3 linked regions of the Bombyx mori genome follow. The protein of the gene in region 1 purifies or fractionates together with the protein of each later gene. This does not show direct contact. Links are inferred from orthologs where the notes say so. Each region holds a gene or a part of one and is shown in the gene's direction. Other genes may lie near its edges.

What was found.
Region 2: the proteins of zinc finger MYM-type protein 3 (region 1) and ubiquilin-1 purify together in Drosophila melanogaster (affinity purification with western blotting; 3 studies listed by BioGRID, with this or other methods). This does not show direct contact. The link is inferred for Bombyx mori from reciprocal best matches to the Drosophila melanogaster genes woc and Ubqn.
Region 3: the proteins of zinc finger MYM-type protein 3 (region 1) and uncharacterized protein LOC101738225 purify together in Drosophila melanogaster (affinity purification with western blotting; 3 studies listed by BioGRID, with this or other methods). This does not show direct contact. The link is inferred for Bombyx mori from reciprocal best matches to the Drosophila melanogaster genes woc and row.

The regions. Positions count from the first base shown.
Region 1 is NC_085113.1:4,589,249-4,594,930, reverse strand, and holds part of zinc finger MYM-type protein 3, read left to right. Parts: intron 1-557; coding exon 558-1,823; intron 1,824-1,919; coding exon 1,920-2,196; intron 2,197-2,720; coding exon 2,721-2,829; intron 2,830-2,907; coding exon 2,908-3,022; intron 3,023-3,122; coding exon 3,123-3,752; intron 3,753-4,095; coding exon 4,096-4,266; intron 4,267-5,317; coding exon 5,318-5,553; intron 5,554-5,682.
Region 2 is NC_085127.1:9,240,094-9,246,409, forward strand, and holds the start of ubiquilin-1, read left to right. Parts: upstream 1-1,966; 5' UTR 1,967-2,098; coding exon 2,099-2,200; intron 2,201-2,325; coding exon 2,326-2,512; intron 2,513-4,048; coding exon 4,049-4,146; intron 4,147-4,719; coding exon 4,720-4,863; intron 4,864-5,684; coding exon 5,685-5,823; intron 5,824-6,316.
Region 3 is NC_085110.1:16,015,805-16,022,000, forward strand, and holds the start of uncharacterized protein LOC101738225, read left to right. Parts: upstream 1-1,846; 5' UTR 1,847-1,999; coding exon 2,000-2,032; intron 2,033-2,100; coding exon 2,101-2,351; intron 2,352-2,898; coding exon 2,899-2,999; intron 3,000-4,396; coding exon 4,397-4,573; intron 4,574-6,196. Other genes in the region: tyrosine-protein phosphatase non-receptor type 23, read right to left, coding at 42-215, 560-882, 1,061-1,263, 1,343-1,429.

The DNA.
Region 1 (5,682 bases):
ATGGAAAAAGAATTTTTCAAATCGGTCCAGTAGTTTCGGAGCCTATTCGAAACAAACAAACAAACAAATCTTTCCTCTTTATAATATTATAGTATAGATTGAAAGAAAAGTATTTCTTTTCAACTTTTTTTAATTTGGCTGCTTTAAGCAATTTTTACTATAGAAAATTGTATATATTATAGTAAAAATTCCGGTCACCGTTCTCGTCGAACCCGTCGCTTGCGACGAAGGGCTCGACGAGTAAGTTAACTCTCAGACACAGCCCACTGAGTTTCTCGCCGGATCTTCTCAGTGGGTCGCGTTTCCGATCCGGTGGTAGATTCTGCGAAGCACGACTCTTGCTAAGGTTCGTGTTAGCATCATAGCTTAGGTAGGAAAAAAAAAAGTAGTAAAAACATATATTGCAAAATGAATTAATGATTTAGTGAACATTGGTTCAGTGATCAATTGATTGAATTAAGAACCTCTAAACCAGGTGGGATGTGAGCTCGTCCACCCATCCAATCAATAAAACAAAAAAAAACAAGTGTTTATTAACAGTATATTACTTTTTATAGATAAAGACAATGAACATGATGAAAGTATAGATACAGAGGAATCCACAGTTACTAATATTATTCAGGAGAGTGCTCCCACTGAAGGGAAATGTGTTCAATGCACTACAGTAAAGCCATGCTACTTCCGATTTACAAAAAAAGGAGATACTATGTTGCTGTGCAGTGAAATGTGTGAATCAAGATATGAAACTCAAAATCCAGGACAATATAAGATAACCCAAAAAAAATATTTAATTGAAGAAATCGTTCCTAACTATTTATCATGTTCAGAGTGTGAGGAAATGAAAGTTTGTTATTTCTATTACAATTACGACGGCGAAGACACGAATTATTGTTCTCTAAGTTGTTTATACAGTATGATGGCCGATGAGAGAGAAAAGTATACATATAAACGAAGAAAAATAGTCGCACAAGAGGTTGAACCAGTTGAAGGTCAATGCTGTGTTTGTAATCAGATGAAAAACTGTAAATTCACGATAACTAAGTATGGGGAAAAACTTTTAATTTGCGAAGCAAATTGTATTCACACTCTGAATTCAGAAGAACAAGGCAGGTATATTCTTAAAATGCTTAGGCCTGTTAGAAAGCAACCAACAAGAAAAAAAGCAAACCCACCTCTGTTAAAATTGAAGGTTATCAGCAATGCCACAGACAAGTACTTAGATGAAGCATATAAAATTCAAGCAAAAACACCTGCCATGGTTCAAGCCGCTAGGGAAGAAAGGGATAGAACATTTTTACGTAAATGTACCTATTGTTATATGTTACTTGATGTAAATGAGAAAATGTTGGTTTGGGAGACAATGGACTTTTGTGGTGAAGTGTGTTTAGGACGATATCAGAATAAAATTGGATCTAGATGTGCAAACTGTAAGAATCCAGTGCTGCATACAAGCTTGGGAAAATATTGTGTCAGATTTGGTTATGACATCCGACAGTTTTGTAATTCGGCATGTTTAGAAGAGTTTAAGAAAGGATTGAAGATATGTTGTTATTGTCAAAGAGATATCTCCTCTGGTCACCAAGGTTTTTTGGCTCCTGTTGGTGATAAAGGCCAATTCAAAGACTTCTGTTCTCAAAACTGCATGGGAAAGTTTGATCAGATGAGTAAGAATCCAATACCGCAGGCGGTGTGGGCGAAGTGCGCGGTGTGTTCTTTAGAGAAGGCCACAACGATTGAGGTTGAAGTTTCCGAAGAAGTAACACAGAGATTATGTTCAGATCCATGTTTTGCTGCATTTAAATTTGTAAATAATATATTTCCAGGTGTGTGTATAATCCTCTTATAAATATATTAAATAATCAAAGTTTTCAATGTTGCTACCAATGTGGTTTTCTATTTAAAAATATTCCTATTTACAGATCAGTGTCGATGGTGTAAAAAGTACTTTGAAAGAAAATTGACAAAATGTTTTTCGATATATGACGACACAGAGGCGATATGTTTTTGTTCAAAGTCCTGTCTAAACGTGTATATAAGTAACACTCGACACATAGTTCCCTGCAGTTGGTGTAAAGTGAAAAAATACAACTTTGATATGATAAAGCGGATACCGGCAAGCGGACAAGCAGTGTTGATGTGTTCTCTTAATTGTTTGAATCTCTACCAAGTTTCCATAAATGCTGTATCATCGAGAAGGTGAGCTCTTACTGTATCCAGATTTTTAAAAGATACCATGAGAAAATTAACTGTTAATGAGAATTACTTATTATCCTTTACTCCTGTAATTCTTCATGGGCTTGATAAAAAGGTGCTAAGAAATTCATCGAAGTCTACGTAAAAGCACCTGTCGGCGAATAGAAGTGTATCTGGTGGTAGGATTGGTAGTGTTGCAGTTAATACTCATATATTTGTATTGATATCAGCTTCAAATTCTTCTGTGGGCACTAATTTCTAAAACCAAATATGTACCTTACTCGTGTCCACGAACGTCGGAGATCTTGTTATGAATATCTATGAAAGTAGGATGATTGTAAAATTGCGTTATTAGTGAAGGTAACCACATCACCTGCCTACTCACTACAGCAATCCTGTGTTTCGACTTAAGACAATACAATTTATCTCTAAAGGTTAGCAATATTTATAACAATGCGGGCTCTATACACTTCTGCCTATTGATTCTGATAAACAAAAGAAACTCAATCCTTTAATTTAATTTTCAGGACCAAATGTGACCTGTGTAAAAGAACGTCATTAGCTCAATACCATTTGACAATGTCTGATGCGACAGTTCGAAACTTTTGCACGTATCAATGCGTCATGTCATTTCAGGTAAGATTTAAAAGTATATGTTAAAACAAGGATGCTGCTTGTTTCCGATTACGTCATTAACTCTCGGTTGTCATGTAGGGTCAGTACTCAAAGCACACACCTCCACTACTCCCCGGCGAGTCAATTGATCAACAGAAAGCGGTCCCGACAGGCGCACCGAGGCGAAATTACAATGCTTCTGGAAAAAATAATAGTAAGATAATAAGAGATTTATTAACAAAACACTGCAATCACAAGATATCAGAATTTTTACATTATAAGCGAAATAAAAAACCCAACAAAACTTATTACAGCACAACGAACAGCCAGTGAAGGTTTACCAGTAATCTCAAACGTGCAATCTCTGGCCAGTCCGAGTCCCTCTGTGGCCATCACCCGCGGCAAGTCCAAGCGGCTCGCCCAGCCCCCGCCCGCAGCCGCGCCCCCCGCCGCGCCCCCCACCCCGCCGCCGCCTCCTGCGCCACCCACACCGCCGCCCCCGCCCCCGCCCAAGGTCTACAACCACGTCATCGTCAAAACGCTACCTCCTCGAGAGGTGGCCAACAAAGGGACCATGTCGAAGCCGATGATGGTTTCCAAAGGTGTCTCATGTCGACCCCATCCCTGTACGAAAGAGTGCCAGACAGATTCGAGCTTGGAACGAAAAGTTTTGATCCCTGTCCCGGTTCCGATATATGTGCCGGTGCCGTGCGTCATGTGGTCTCTGCCCTTCCCTGTCCCCGTACCCATTCCCATTCCGGTACCCACTCCGGTCTTCATTCCGACGACGAGGAATTCCGCTAAAGGAATAATGAAGGAAATAAACAAGATACACGACAAGATGCCCACAGATCCATTTGAAGCGGAGTTGTTGATGATGGCTGAAATGGTAGCCGGGGATAAGAAGAAAGATCAAAGTGATTCAGATACTGATGACGATAATGGTACGCAAAAAAATAGTTTAATTTTAAATGCATAGGGATGAATTTGAAATGCTTAGAGGTATATTATCATTTATGTTTTGAGACATTAATGAACTATTAAAAAACATGATTACCATTTAATTTTCTAGTATTTATTTTGTTCATTATTTTGGTCTCACTTTTATAATTTTACTACAATTTTTATCAACAATGCTACTTTATATTACTTTACTAGAAATAACACAAAAATGTCAATAGACAGTTGATGATATGCTTTTTGAATTTGAAGCTGATTTCAATTACAATGTTTTGGTCAAAGTAATAAAAAAAAGGTTTTTAAAAAGAAATAAATTATTTTGATCAGCGGAAGAAGGATTCAGCCCCGTAGCAGGCATGGACGGTAATAACGCTTTCGGAGAGGACATGCTGCAGATGGCTTTAAAAATGGCCACGGAATACGAAGATCAACCGGTAGACTTAGAATCTGCAATGACAGCTAACACGATCACTCCGAGCTCACATCCCGGAATGCCTGGTGAGTGCTACACTATGAAATTAAACACTTCACAAGTATGGGATAATGGCAGTTGTATATTAAACAAAGAACGCGAATGCGTCACCCTCGTTTGCGCCAAGTAATTTATTAAATGACTTTGTAGGAAAGAGACAAAACGATACTTGCTCATTTGAGAATTGTTATCGTCCGAGTTTAATAAATATCTGTGGCATTTTCAAGCATGTGTTTGAGTGTACACTTGCATATGGCCTGTTTACATTTTTATTAATGTGAGTGGTGTCATGTATTGCATAGCAGTTTAAAACAGCTTATGAAGTGAAAGCATGTCTAAAGCTGATTCATTCGATGTATGCTGTAAATCATGTAATAAAAGTGTGTAGAATAGAAAATAAAGGCACTATATATCATAAACTAATCTGTAATAACATGAACGAACTGTGTACATATTATTATATTAAACGCCTACACTAATCACTACTAATAATCATTTGGATTAAATTGTTCCAACCTACCACTCATCACAGTGGACCATCACTTGAGAAAAATAAGGGCAAGGAAGGAAAGAAAAAAGTAAATGAAAGTAAAAAAAAGAGATCCATTGGGTGTCTTTCATAGTAGTTATTCTAGAATCTTAGTTTATTGAAGTCTGAATAAGGTTATCAGTATACCACATTAACTATAATTAATAATTCTAATATAAGAATTACGAAGTACAATAAACATAGACATATCACTAGCCGCGTTAAGAGATAAGGTCGCAATGGAGGAGCCTCACCCTGGGGGAACCACCTACTTGATCACGGTATCCCCTACGCCAGGTCTAAGCCTTTGCTTCCTGGCTGAGCCTTTGCTCCTGGCTGAGCCTTTGCTCCTGGCTGAGCCTTTGCTCCTGGCTGAGCCTTTGCTTCGTGGTTGAGCTTGACCTTTGCTCGCCCACCTGTCCTAAACTGGAAAGGCTGGTTAAACTTCCGGGCCACCAGTAATCTTTCAATCATAGAAAAAAAAAAGATAAGGTCGAAGTGTGAATCGTAAGGAATAATTTTACTAGCGATAATAATTGTGGTTACAGGTCTAGAGGGTGACGGCATGCACCACCACCACCTGATGGTGATGGAGCAGCAGCGCGCGGTGGCGGCGCTGCGCGCGGCGGGGGGCGCGGCCCGCAAGCGAGTGCCCGCGCCCGCCGCGCCCCCCGCCGCGCGCCCGCAGCGCTCCGGCAAGAGGCGCCGCGCCGACCCGCCGCCCCCGCAGCCCGACCCGCCCAGGGAACCCGCAGAGAAACCTGACGCCAACATGTGCCTCAAGGTCCGCCTGGTGCATTCTTAGATATCTCGATTACAGATCTTCGACAGATTTGTGCTTTTTTTTTGAAGGTTTGAAGGGTGGGGCAGCCGTTGTAACTATACTTGAGATCTTAGAACTTATATCTCAAGG
Region 2 (6,316 bases), on another chromosome or scaffold:
TTTGCCGCTTAACTTAAAAAAAAAATCTCTCTAAAGATTTCATTTTTGTTCCGTTTGGGGTGGAAACTTTGGGCCCCTGGGGCCCATCTGCTAAAAGCTTTTTTAAGGACCTTAAAAAAAACTTTTTGAGGCCTCGGGAGACCAGAAGGCCGGTACGTATTTTGCACAAAGAATTAGCATTGCTATCCAGCGTGGAAATGCTGCCAGCCTTCTGGGAACTCTGCCAACCGGCGGTGAGCTAACGCAGATTTTCTATTTCTTCTTCTTCTTCTTCTAATAAAAAATTAAAAAATGTCTAATTGTTAGATAAAAATGTCTAATTGTTATTTAACAATTAGACATTTTTTGATAATGTGTATTCGATTCTTCAGTCTGTAATTTATTTACATTAAAGAAGAAATAGAAACTTATTTGTAAATTGGTAACCCCGTACAACATACTTGGACGAACAAAAAATTAAATACTTTCTCTACATTGATCACGATATGAAAATACTTAAAATAATATAGTACCTAGCGTGATAACAAAAATATAAAATTCTATTTTTTGTTAACTACACTAAATCACTAACATAATTTATACATACTATATCCATATTATATGTTCATAAGGCTATCCACCCGAGATCTTATCAAAATATTTTCGTTCGAAAGTTATCGCATTTTTAAAGTCCATCCATTCTTAATCTGTTTTTTGTGAAATTTTTTACTAATTTTTTTATTTATTACATGAGTGGACGAGCTCACAGCTCACCTGGTGTTAAGTGGTTTCTGGAGTCCATAGACATCGACAACGTTAATGCCGCCGCCCACCTTGAGATATAAGTTCTAAGGTCTCAGTATAATTACAACGGCTTCCCCACCCTTCAAACCGAAACGCATTACTGCTTCACGCCAGAAATTGGCAGGGCTGTAGTACCTACCCGTACGGACTCACAAGAGGTACTACCACCAGTAATTACGCTAATTACGCAAAAATAAAATGGTTATCGAGGGACAGTTTTATGTTCACGTCATGACTTATGCTAGTGTGGTGTTCGCTCAAGCGGCCCGCAAACACATAGACACCTCTATGATATACACATAGACAATCCCTACAAACCCGCTCTTGCAGGTTAACAGTCGGAGTGGGTCATAAGGAACCTTGACCTATACGATGACCTGGGTCTCGAATCCATCCGGAAACACATGAAGTCAGTGTCGAAACGGTATTTCGATAAGTCTATGCGTTATGATAATCGCCTTATCGTTGTCGCCGCTGACTACTCTCTGAATCCTGATCACGCAGGAGCCAGTCACCGTCGATGTCCTAAACACGTCTTTACGGATCCATCAGATCCAATAATCCTTGCATGAGACGCCTTTAGCTCTAACAATAGGACCAGGCTTAGGGACCCCGGTAACCGTACTCGTCAAACTCGGCATAAAGTTCGACGTGTACCCTAACCTAAACATCAGTACGCTGAGTTTCTTGCCGGATCTTCTCAGTGGGTTGCGATTCCAATCCGGCAGCAGATTCATTCGCAAAGCAGCTGCTCTTGATTTGTTAGGTCTCCTTCGGAGGTGCTCGGGCAGCTATTTGCATATCCCATCCCTTCTTGATGAGCCTTTGTTCGCCCACCAGTCCTGGTGAAGCTGGAAAGGCCTCCGGGCCATGAGTAATACTAAAATAAATAAATAAGATTATGTTGGCACTAAAAGCGCATTTATTAGAGCAAATATTAAGTGTATTGTCTATAGATAGAGCTATCCTACTTAACTCACATAAATACCGTACGTTCTTTTTTGGTAATCTGCATATAATTTTTAGGATCTATTTAATTCAACGCACACACTTGCATGTGCACTCAAAAATGTTTTTATTCTCATGCTTGGTCTTAAGATTCACAAATCAAAATAGAGGTCAATCAGCAATTTCCAAATAGAACCATGCCAACTATTTTTGTGAAATTTATGGTCTTAGTTGTCTGGCAGCACTACTAGTTAGCCGTCATACTGACCCATAGACAATATACAAGTCAACGCTATTCGTCAATTTGTCTTTCTCGTATAAATTTTACTTTTCCGCCAAAGTACATAGTCATTCTAGAATTGCCAAAATGGCAGAGGGACAAGACGACCCTAAAAAAATTACGATCACAGTTAAAACCCCGAAAGAGAAGCAGCAAGTTGAAATTGAGGAAGATGCCGATATCAAAAGAGTGAGTAGGGGGCCGTGAAATCCTTCATTCATGGCGTAATAACATTGATATGGGACACGCAATCAGTGACGACATATATTTCTTCATTCCGGCACATAAAAACGCAGTATTTTCATTCGTTTTAGCTCAAAGAAGTGTTGTCTTCAAAATTCAGTACAGAACCAGAACAATTATGTCTTATTTTCGCCGGGAAAATCATGAATGATGCCGATACCCTGAAGCAACACAACATCAAAGATGGGTTGACAGTGCATCTAGTGATTAAAGCTCCTCCAAGACCAGAACCGGAGGGTGCGGCTCGTAGACCCCCAGGTAAATTAACTAACTAGGATTGGATTTTCATTAGTTGTGTTGACTAACGAGTTCCAAGTCCATTTCAATAAAATATGTCATACGAATTAACCTGGATAATGAAATACAGTTAGTTTAGCTATTTGCAAGTAAACATTGATGATATTTAATTGTTTTGAGAAACAAATGGAGGAACATACAAGAATCATATTCACTAATTATGGACACTATAAAATGTATGTAAATTTTAGAGATTCCAATGTGAAGATTTCAATGAGCCAGTGAAAATTTTTGTTAGACTCACAACCAAAATGTTATTGAAAACTTATCTTGAAAATCTTGCTGGCTTGATATGTCGTCTAATTTCTTCTGCCATATAAGCTATCGCTACATGTATCATATATTATATCCACTCTTAAAGTGAAAAAAAATAGAAACTTTTTGGAAAAATAGATGGCATACTGTTAACCTGCTCAGGTGGAATCCACCAATTTGCCTATTAATGCAGCATGGCATGCACACATTAGTTTGCAGGATAGGACAGTCATTATCTAAGACAATTTGGTCTTTTGCCTCGTGTGTCTAGTGGTTTCATTCACATTGTGATATCAATGGGCTTTGTTAAGCACTTAAAACTAGGTGCTCCTCCATCTATCTGTGCAATAAAAATAAATAATAGATATTTGACTGGGAACTTGTGTATATTATATTTCTCTCTTCTTCTCTGTCGTTTCCTCATGACTGAGGGTTGTGACCACCTTGGTCCAGTTTTTGCACCAGCTTCCTCCAATGCTGCCTGCATTTGGCCTGCTTAATGGCTTAATATTTATGTCATAGGAAAATTAAATTTCTCGTACAGCATATTAGCTTCAGTGGCAAATTGAAAACTTTATTTTGGGCCACAAAGCTTTTGGAAAATATAAATATATTACATTTTGCTGCACTAAATATTAATTTCTTACTTGTAAAGTAAAGCTTTTATTGTGTTAATCAAGGTAAAACAATAATTAAGCATAAACTTTTTCTTTACAGTAAATCAGAAACTTTGGTATATGTTGTTTTGACCTGTTTTAGTCTAATAAAGATAATTTTTTGTAAAAGATATGTCAGGTGTTAATGGGATACTTGTGTTTATGGCTATATCTAACATTTATGACTTGTGAGCAATTGGCACACCTGCTGTTAAAGGTAACCAGAATCTATAGACATCTTATGGTGAACATGTCCACATTCATCATTGTGACACATTCAGTTAGAAGCCACAGTAGCATTAGTAAAACAGTAATTTCACACACATCTATTCTACTCATAAACTAGACAATCTGTTATAACATCAGATCCTCTCGCTCAGACTGGCCAAATACTAATAGTTAATATGATGATGATAATAATCATTTAAATACTTGGATGTTTGTTTCAAATAAAAATTCTTCTTATTTGGATTTATTTTACTAGAAAGAAATCCAATTGTTTACTTAATAACACTTGTGTTAGATTATTGAAAATTATAAAAATATGAAATTTATTTCCACTACATTTGTAATATCATTTTCCTAGCTGACGTCAGTGCTACACCATTTGGTTTAAACTCGCTGGGTGGGCTGGCGGGTCTTGAAAGCTTGGGCCTTGGTCAGAGTACTTTTATGGATCTCCAGGTATTTATATCACAGGACTGCTTTATATGATATTGAAAAGTTTTCAGCTACATTTATAAACTGTAAAACTGTAATTTTTTATTATTAACAAGCCTTTCGTTTAGTCTATTTATTGGGGTTCTCAACCCATCTAGCACAGTTACCGCAACCCATATGACAGCTTCAGATAGAATTCCAAGTAACAATTTAATTAGGATATTTCCTTTTTTTTCCTACCTATGCTGATACCCTTGAAAGGCTATATCAGTGTTACTCTAGCGTATAGGTGAGTTCTCAGGACTCAAACCGGAGGTGTTGCTAACACTGGCCCTAGCAAGAACAGTGCTTCACAGAATCTACCACCAGATCAAAAACACAACCCACTGAGAAGATAACCAAAATGCATGATTGTTTTGCTTTTTTTGTGTTTTTTTTTTAATTCAGACTGGCTTTATATGCAATAGAACATACGGCCCTATTAATAGCAAGTTTAAGCCGTCCCTCATAAACCAGCAATGATAGAGGAACAGTCAAACTTACGCCTACTGTATAATTAACAAATTTGGACCCTACTAAGGCTTATATTATTCACAGGCTAGAATGCAACAGGAACTTCTGTCCAACCCTGATATGCTCAGACAAGTCTTAGACAATCCATTGGTGCAGCAGATGATGAATGATCCTGAGAATATGCGTAGCCTCATCACCTCCAACCCACAAATGCAAGATCTCATGTCTGTGAGTCATTTTTTTACTAAAATTGTACTATTATAAAGTAATAAATACTACTAATGACTAGTATATAATAATAAAAATTTACTAACTTCATAAATTAACACGTTGCCTGTCCGTGCATTATATATAATGCATTTTTGGTCCAGCTGTGACGTCCGTGCATTATATGTAATCCACGATGTTCTTGTTACTACATTCGTGCATTATAAGTAATGCACGGTATTCTAGCTGACACGTCTGTGCATTAAAACTAATGCATGCATGAAATTCAGTATTTTAGTTGTTTTTGAAAGTGTTTTTTGAAAAGCACTTACATGTACTTCATAAGTACATAAAATGAAATAGTTAAGCCGAAAAAAAAACGGGGTCATGGGTACTTAACCAAAATACTCTGGACAGGCAACGTGCTAACTTTGAAGACATACAATACAATAAATCTTTGGCTGTATAGATCAGTAATTGGCAAAGTGCCTTGAAAGAACCCTTCGTAGAGTACAGAATCAGAGAACAAAATTGGAAGTATACAAAATCTAGCGAGCATATAGATGAAGAGCCAACAAATGGAAAAAAAACATATTATTCTTTTGAGAGCTTGTTAAGCTTGACCCTCAATTTTTTTCTTAATTCAGTTCATTTATTCTAACAAAATTCATACTATAAAATCCCATTGAGAATCACTGGTATGCATAATAGAACGAAAGCCTAATATTGAAACTTATTGAAAAGAAGAAACCATTGGTTATGTCAGCTAGTAATCACATTTCAAAATAAATACAAGTTGCAGTTGCAATCAAGATAAACGTATAGCTGCTTGATTTTTTCAGAGAAATCCAGAAATCAGTCATATGTTAAACAATCCTGAATTATTACGTCAAACTATGGAGTTGGCTCGCAACCCCGCTATGTTGCAAGAGTTGATGCGCTCACACGACCGCGCCCTCTCCAATCTCGAAAGTATACCAGGTAAGTTACCGATGTTTGATATAAAATCTATACTTCTATTCTAATATTATAAAGAGGAAATATTTGTTTGTTTGTATTGAATAGGCTCCGAAAATTAAAACGATTTGAAAAATTCTTTCACTGTTTGGAAGCTACACTACTCCCGATAATCTTTTTTGAAAAAAATTAGGGATCCTTACTAAAACTCCAATAATGTAAAAAAAATACCTAAAATATTCTTTACATCGCGTGCCCTGCGAAAACTATTGAGGATAGAATAAAATAATGTACTACGACTTTGTAGAACACTTTATTATTTATGAAAAGTGTCGCGACAGCTATTATAGTTATGCCGCAATAACGGTTCTTCTATTTAAAAAATAAAACATCGTCAAATATCGTTGAAAATTTTGTTAAAGACCCGAGCGGAGCCGGAGCGGGCCGCTAGTCTAATTAATATAAAAATGAAAACTTTGTCTTTTACTTTAATGTAAATTTCTATATAGGTACTTTT
Region 3 (6,196 bases), on another chromosome or scaffold:
TAAGCCTATAAAAGTACAAATTTTCTAATAATTATTCTTACCTTGATACAGACAGGCAATAGATCCAACAAATGACATTTTAAAAGAAAGGGACCGATACCAATAGTTGTACAGGGTTATACCAACAACTTCATAAACATTTTCTGAACCAGTGGACGGTCCAAGTAAAGCCAGAGCATTTTTGCAGAATAAAACAACTTGTATTGCTACTGCTCCTGAAATTTAAAATTCATGATTTCAAATAACTAGGTATAAGACAGGCTGCTATAAATTTGAAAGTGTACACGCACACCAACAAAAACAAACCTTACTTTCAATTCACAGATAGTAACCTGAAGCAGTGATTCGAGTAAAAAAAAAATCATTGTTTTTAATCAAAACATGGTGATGATTCATCAACATAATAATATGTTATCTACAACAATACTTTTACTATACATGTATAAGATATGTTTTGTAGTGTATACTTAACAAGTGGACTTCAACTTTAATGTATTCTTATTTTGAGTTCACAAATATTCCTTAAACAACTGGTCTTCTATAAAACTACATTAATTACCAATAACACGGGGCTTTCTTGTATCTTGTATACTCTTCTCTAGAATACATTGCTGGGCTTGACCTAAGCAAATTTCCTGGAGAAGTCTCATTATTTCTGAGGAAATATCAACACCTGGAGGTTGAGTAAATTGCTCTCTCAAGAGTTGAAATGAGTATGCAGCATGCTGGAAGTGAGTGCAAGTGGCTTTCAGGCTTTCAGCTGTGGTACGTGGCTCCATTGCACCAAGTTCGGTATTTAGGGCACCAATATTGTAAAGAATACATCCTAATTCAAACCTAGCAGATGCTGAGGTACAATTCATGCTTGCGTAGAGATCCTTCCTGTTAAGAAATAAATAGATTAACAAGAAAATTATTTTTACTAAAGGTAGGAATAGTGTAAAGTGTAAAGAATCAAGAATATTGAACAATGCTTATAGATAATAATCTTCTTTAGGTGAATCAATGATTCATACATTTTTAACTAATCAAATCAACTTAAGCTAATTAGATTACCTACCAAGTGAAATTGCAAGCCGCCGGCTGGCCTTTGCTCATTGGGAATCGGCTTTGCATGGCACGAAGTTGGCAAAAATATCTAATTAAAGATTTCAAGCCTGCCGTATCCATTGTAGGCCTCACGGCGGCCGATCGTAGCCCTTCGAGCGAATGAATCTCATTACTGTAGCTTTCTGGATCTTCTTTATAAACTTCGGCAATGTACTAGAAAATTCCAAAGAAAAAAGTGGACAAAGAAACAACAAACAAATCTTAGCCGTAGACAGATTATAGACCTATTTACCTGTTTAAGTTTTGTTCCAAATTTTGTATTCTCTGTTGATACTTTTAATTCGAAACTGATAAGGGGTATCTTCGGTACCGCTTCCATAATTAATGGAAGCTAACTTCGATTAGAAACGTAGTTAAGGAAATTTCACTTGAACGACAATTTCATCACAAACAATTTTATCAAACTATCAGTTGCGGAGATTATTTACTTTCTTTTTTAAATTATAATGGCTTTGGCTTCAGTACCATTTGGCAAAATTTATGGAGGAATAATAGTGCCCAAAAAATCAACAAACCTTTGTTTCGTAATATTAAAATACTTTACAAAGAAAAATAATTTGTTATAGTCATTTTAAATATTTATAACTAAAAAAAGTATAAATAAGCGAGATTTAAAACACAAATTGCAAAATAAAAAGTCGCTTCGTCCTTAATTTCCAGAAATGTTGGCTGTATAATGTAAAATCACTTTGCCGATAATATCGAAATCGAACAAAACATCTAAGTACTCTGTGAAAGCACAGATCAATGTGAAAGCGTCAGACATAGATAATACACATAATCATAGATTATACACTTAATATCACAATATAAATGAGCCTCTAATAAATGTAGGTGCATCAGATGCTAGTGAATTTTTACTATAATATGATTTGAACAAACTTACATTATGAAGCTAAAGAAAGCTAAGTCAGATACCGAGGTAAGTGAAATAATTACCGATGTTTCCTTCAAATGCCAATATCCATAACCATCTAAAGTACTTTTTAGGAAGTCATTCCACCTCAAGCCGAAATCATTGAAGCCGATCTCTACAAGAGATCGTATTTCGGTCCAGACATACCAACATTAGAGCTAGAATGCTGGGAAGAAGAACTATCAGAAGTCCAACTACAAGCATACAAAAATGCCGACGATGAGTACAAAAGTATCCAAAACAAACTGGACGATATAGTTAAGAGCACTGGCGGCCAGATTGTTTACAACGGCGATCAATTCACCGCGTATCAGTTGCTTGGAAAGTAAGTAAATACTAGATTTTTATGAATCATTTATTTCTATCTTCCTCCAGAAATAAGGTGTCTGAATCCAAACCCAATTTTTTTAATTTATTGTTTATTACACTTCATAAACATGAATGTAGATGGTATTGTCCATCAGTCAAGCAACGGTGAGAACATAGTTGGTGGATTAATTGATAAATTATTAATATACATAATTATAATTATTAAAATATAAATTGATAAATTTTGATTCCAAATTAAATGCATAATGAAAGTATTTCAAAACCTTTATTATATTCTGATCTCACAATATAGATTAAATTAAACCAATTCCATCTAATCTACATGAAATTTATTGAATTGAACTGACTTCTGTGAGATATTAATTATAAAATGAATGAAGTCGTTGATCTTGTGTCACAAGATTGAAGCAGTTGGCTTATAAAATTCAAATTCACAAGTATATATTATTATTTTGTATCTGTAATATTTAGTAAACAAACATACTATTCCACAAAGGTCTAAAGGTAATAATATATTTCATAAATATTTCTTTTGTGTTTAGACAACCAGCATTGAAAGACTTGGAGCGTCAAAGTGCGGACATAATAAGATCTAGATCACGTTCTATGTCTATCTCAAAGGACAGACCAACAACACGAAGAGGTAATTTTGATATTCCATTTTGATTTCTACGTAAAACTTAATAGAAGGCTCATTTGGTATAAAACAGCTATGGTTGTGCATGTCTTTGAAACTACCACCAATCACTTAAATGCAATTCTGCAAAAAAAATCCTGTAAATGGAATTCTGAATTGGAAAACTTATTGAAAAACCACCTTACATTTCAAATTAGTATATAGGAATTGCCGTTGCTTCTTGGATAAATGCAGGGATACAAACATTTTGTACCAATCCAGGTGTGCTCAATATCTATGCTAATGTTATTCAGAGTAATTATACAAATTTTGTGGAGTTCCATTTTATTAAATTGTGCTGATGTTCAATCATCTTGGTAATATTTGTGAACTAACAGTACATACATTACTTAACTTTTTTTTATTGCTTAGATGGGTGGACGACCTCGCAGCCCACATGATGTTAAGTGGTTACTGGAGCCCATAGACATCCACGACGTAAATGCGCCACCCACCTTGAGATATAAGTTCTAAGGTCTCAAGTATAGTTACAACGGCTGCCCCACCCTTCAAACCGAAACGCATTACTGCTTTACGGCAGAAATAGGCAGGGCGGTGGTACCTACCCGCGCGGACTCACAAGAGGTCCTACCACCAGTAATTACGCAAATTATAATTTTGCGGGTTTCATTTTTATTACACGAGTTATTCCTTCACTGTGGAAGTCAATCGTGAACATTTGTTGAGTACTTATTTCATTAGAAAAATTGGTACTCGCCTGGGATTCGAATACCGGTGCATCGCTCAACACGAATGCACCGGACGTCTTATCCTTGAGGCCACGATGACTATACATTAGAAAAGTTTGTACTCGCCTGGGATTCGAACACCGGCGCATCGCTCAACACGAATGCACTGAAAAACCAAAACAGTAAAATGATTACTTAGAGTATTAACTGTCACTTCAAGAATTATAAAATCGTCTGGCACTTCAAATCTTAAAGAAATAAAATTATCTTTACTTTGTAATTATCAAGAAATTCTTTAATTTTAATGTATTTAAATAGAAATGGTTAAAATGGTAAAAAAAATATGGTTAAAGTTGTCATCGAGCACGGCAAATGTACCCTACATTTCATAGACCCTATTGTACCCACCATTACATTACTACATGACTAAATTGACATAAATTCAAGGGCGGCTCATACTTCTTGCCTTAAAGCAGCCAACACAGCTAAACTGCTGCTGAATATACTATTCCTAAATACCGAAACTTTAAAGTTAAAGTTTAAATGTAGTTAGCTTAACGTTAGTTTAAAGTTGAAGTAACTTAAAGTTAGTTTCATTTGCCATTACCTTACATATTGAAGAACTTCATCTTCAAGAATTATAAACTGTGAATGTTTGTAAACTTTTCATTCTAGGACGTCAGAAGAGGACTCGTGGTGAAGAAAAATACCATTCTCCTTCACCAGAAAAAACCAAATCTCCTGAACCGAAACACAAGAAAAAAAAGAAAGATAAAGAGAAGAACAAAGAAAAGGACAAGGAAAAAGAGAAAGAAAACACAAAGACTAAAGACAAGACACTTGCACCTTCTAGTAAGTTTCAAGAGAATTAATTGATTTGAAGGACGTATTTTAGGACGCTTTCCGGGTCATCGTTCTCGTCGAACCCGTTCTTTGCAACGAAGGGCTCGGCGAGTAAATTAACCCACAGACACAGCCCACTGATTTTCTCACTGGATTTTCTCAGTGGGTCGAGTTTCCGATCCGGTGGTAGATTCTGCGAAGCACGGCTCTTGCTAGTGTTCATGTTAGCAACATCGTCAGGTTTGAGCTCACCTATTAACTCGGCGACGCTGACATGGTCTCTGTAGACCATCAACTTAGGTATGAAAAAAAAGGACGATTTTTAAGGAAATCATCCTACGTATTTTTTAAGTTATACTTCTTTAGGCGCGTTATGAAAAATTGATGAGAGTGAAATTTTACGATGCGCGCGCACCGTGACACAAAATTAACAGAAATGAAGTTGCCCACTAAATCGCTCATTACAATACGACCGACGTAGCTTGGCGAGTCTGAATATAGCCGCAGGTGAACTTTCGCGCATGTACACTCGTAAAAAAAAGTGTTATTAGCATTCATTTTTTTAAATCAAAATACGAATTAAAATTTCCATATACAGGGACCAAGTACAAATAAAATGAATATCAAAACACTATGAGGCAGAAAGCTATAAAAATAACGTAATAATTTAAAGAGAGATAATAAAAGAATGATAAATTAAGACAGAAAGCTGTAAAAATAACGTAATTAAATTAATTCGAATGTAAGCCCGAACACTGCCTTCAGTTGCGATCCGCTGTACTGTGCGTTGCGATACACCAGTTGCGTTAGCAACTCTAAATGAAACTGTCAACATCTTTTACGATTTCTTCTTCTTCTTTTTAAAAAAAAAATCAAAAATTATGTTTGTCGGCCGACGATTTAAAACACTATTATGCTTTGGTGGCATCTTTGTTAACGAATAGTATAAAATAGTATAAATGCCAAGGGACACTTAATACTAAAACAAATTTAAACACAAACAATCTTAAAACTAAACAAAAAACTGAGCACTAAACAAAAACAGTATAATAATAACAAATCAATGAAAACTTTTGTAGCCGCCCGTACTCAAGACAGAGATCCAATATGCGTGTTTGAGGATGTTGTTTAATCGATTTTTTTTCAAATTGATTAAAATTTAAATAAAAAAATATATCTATATTCCATTTTGTAGGAGATTTAAAATATTCACAAACAGTCCCTATTGTAGTAGTTGTTTATAAATCACTGATATTCAACTAAATCATGTCTTTCAACCAAGAAAATAAAGTGTTATTAGTTTTTTATTAAAGATGAAGTCTCGTTTACTAATGACAACATTCAAGAAGTTTGTAAATCTATTTCGTTCAGTATCTCATAAAAACAAAAATCAATAAATTCTAAATCGATAAAAACCGATTGCGATATTTGATTGAATAAAGGGACGATTGTGTTTACACAGAGTCAATCCCTAGCCTAGACCTCCGCCCCGCGCACGTCCGTCATGCCACCATTTGGTTCTTAAAAACGTTTGTGCGCAGCCTTCTGCGCGAAGTTCGGACTCGCCAAGATACATCGGTCGTATTGTAAGTTGAGGAAATAAAAAGGGTGCGTGTACTTATGTACGCGCGT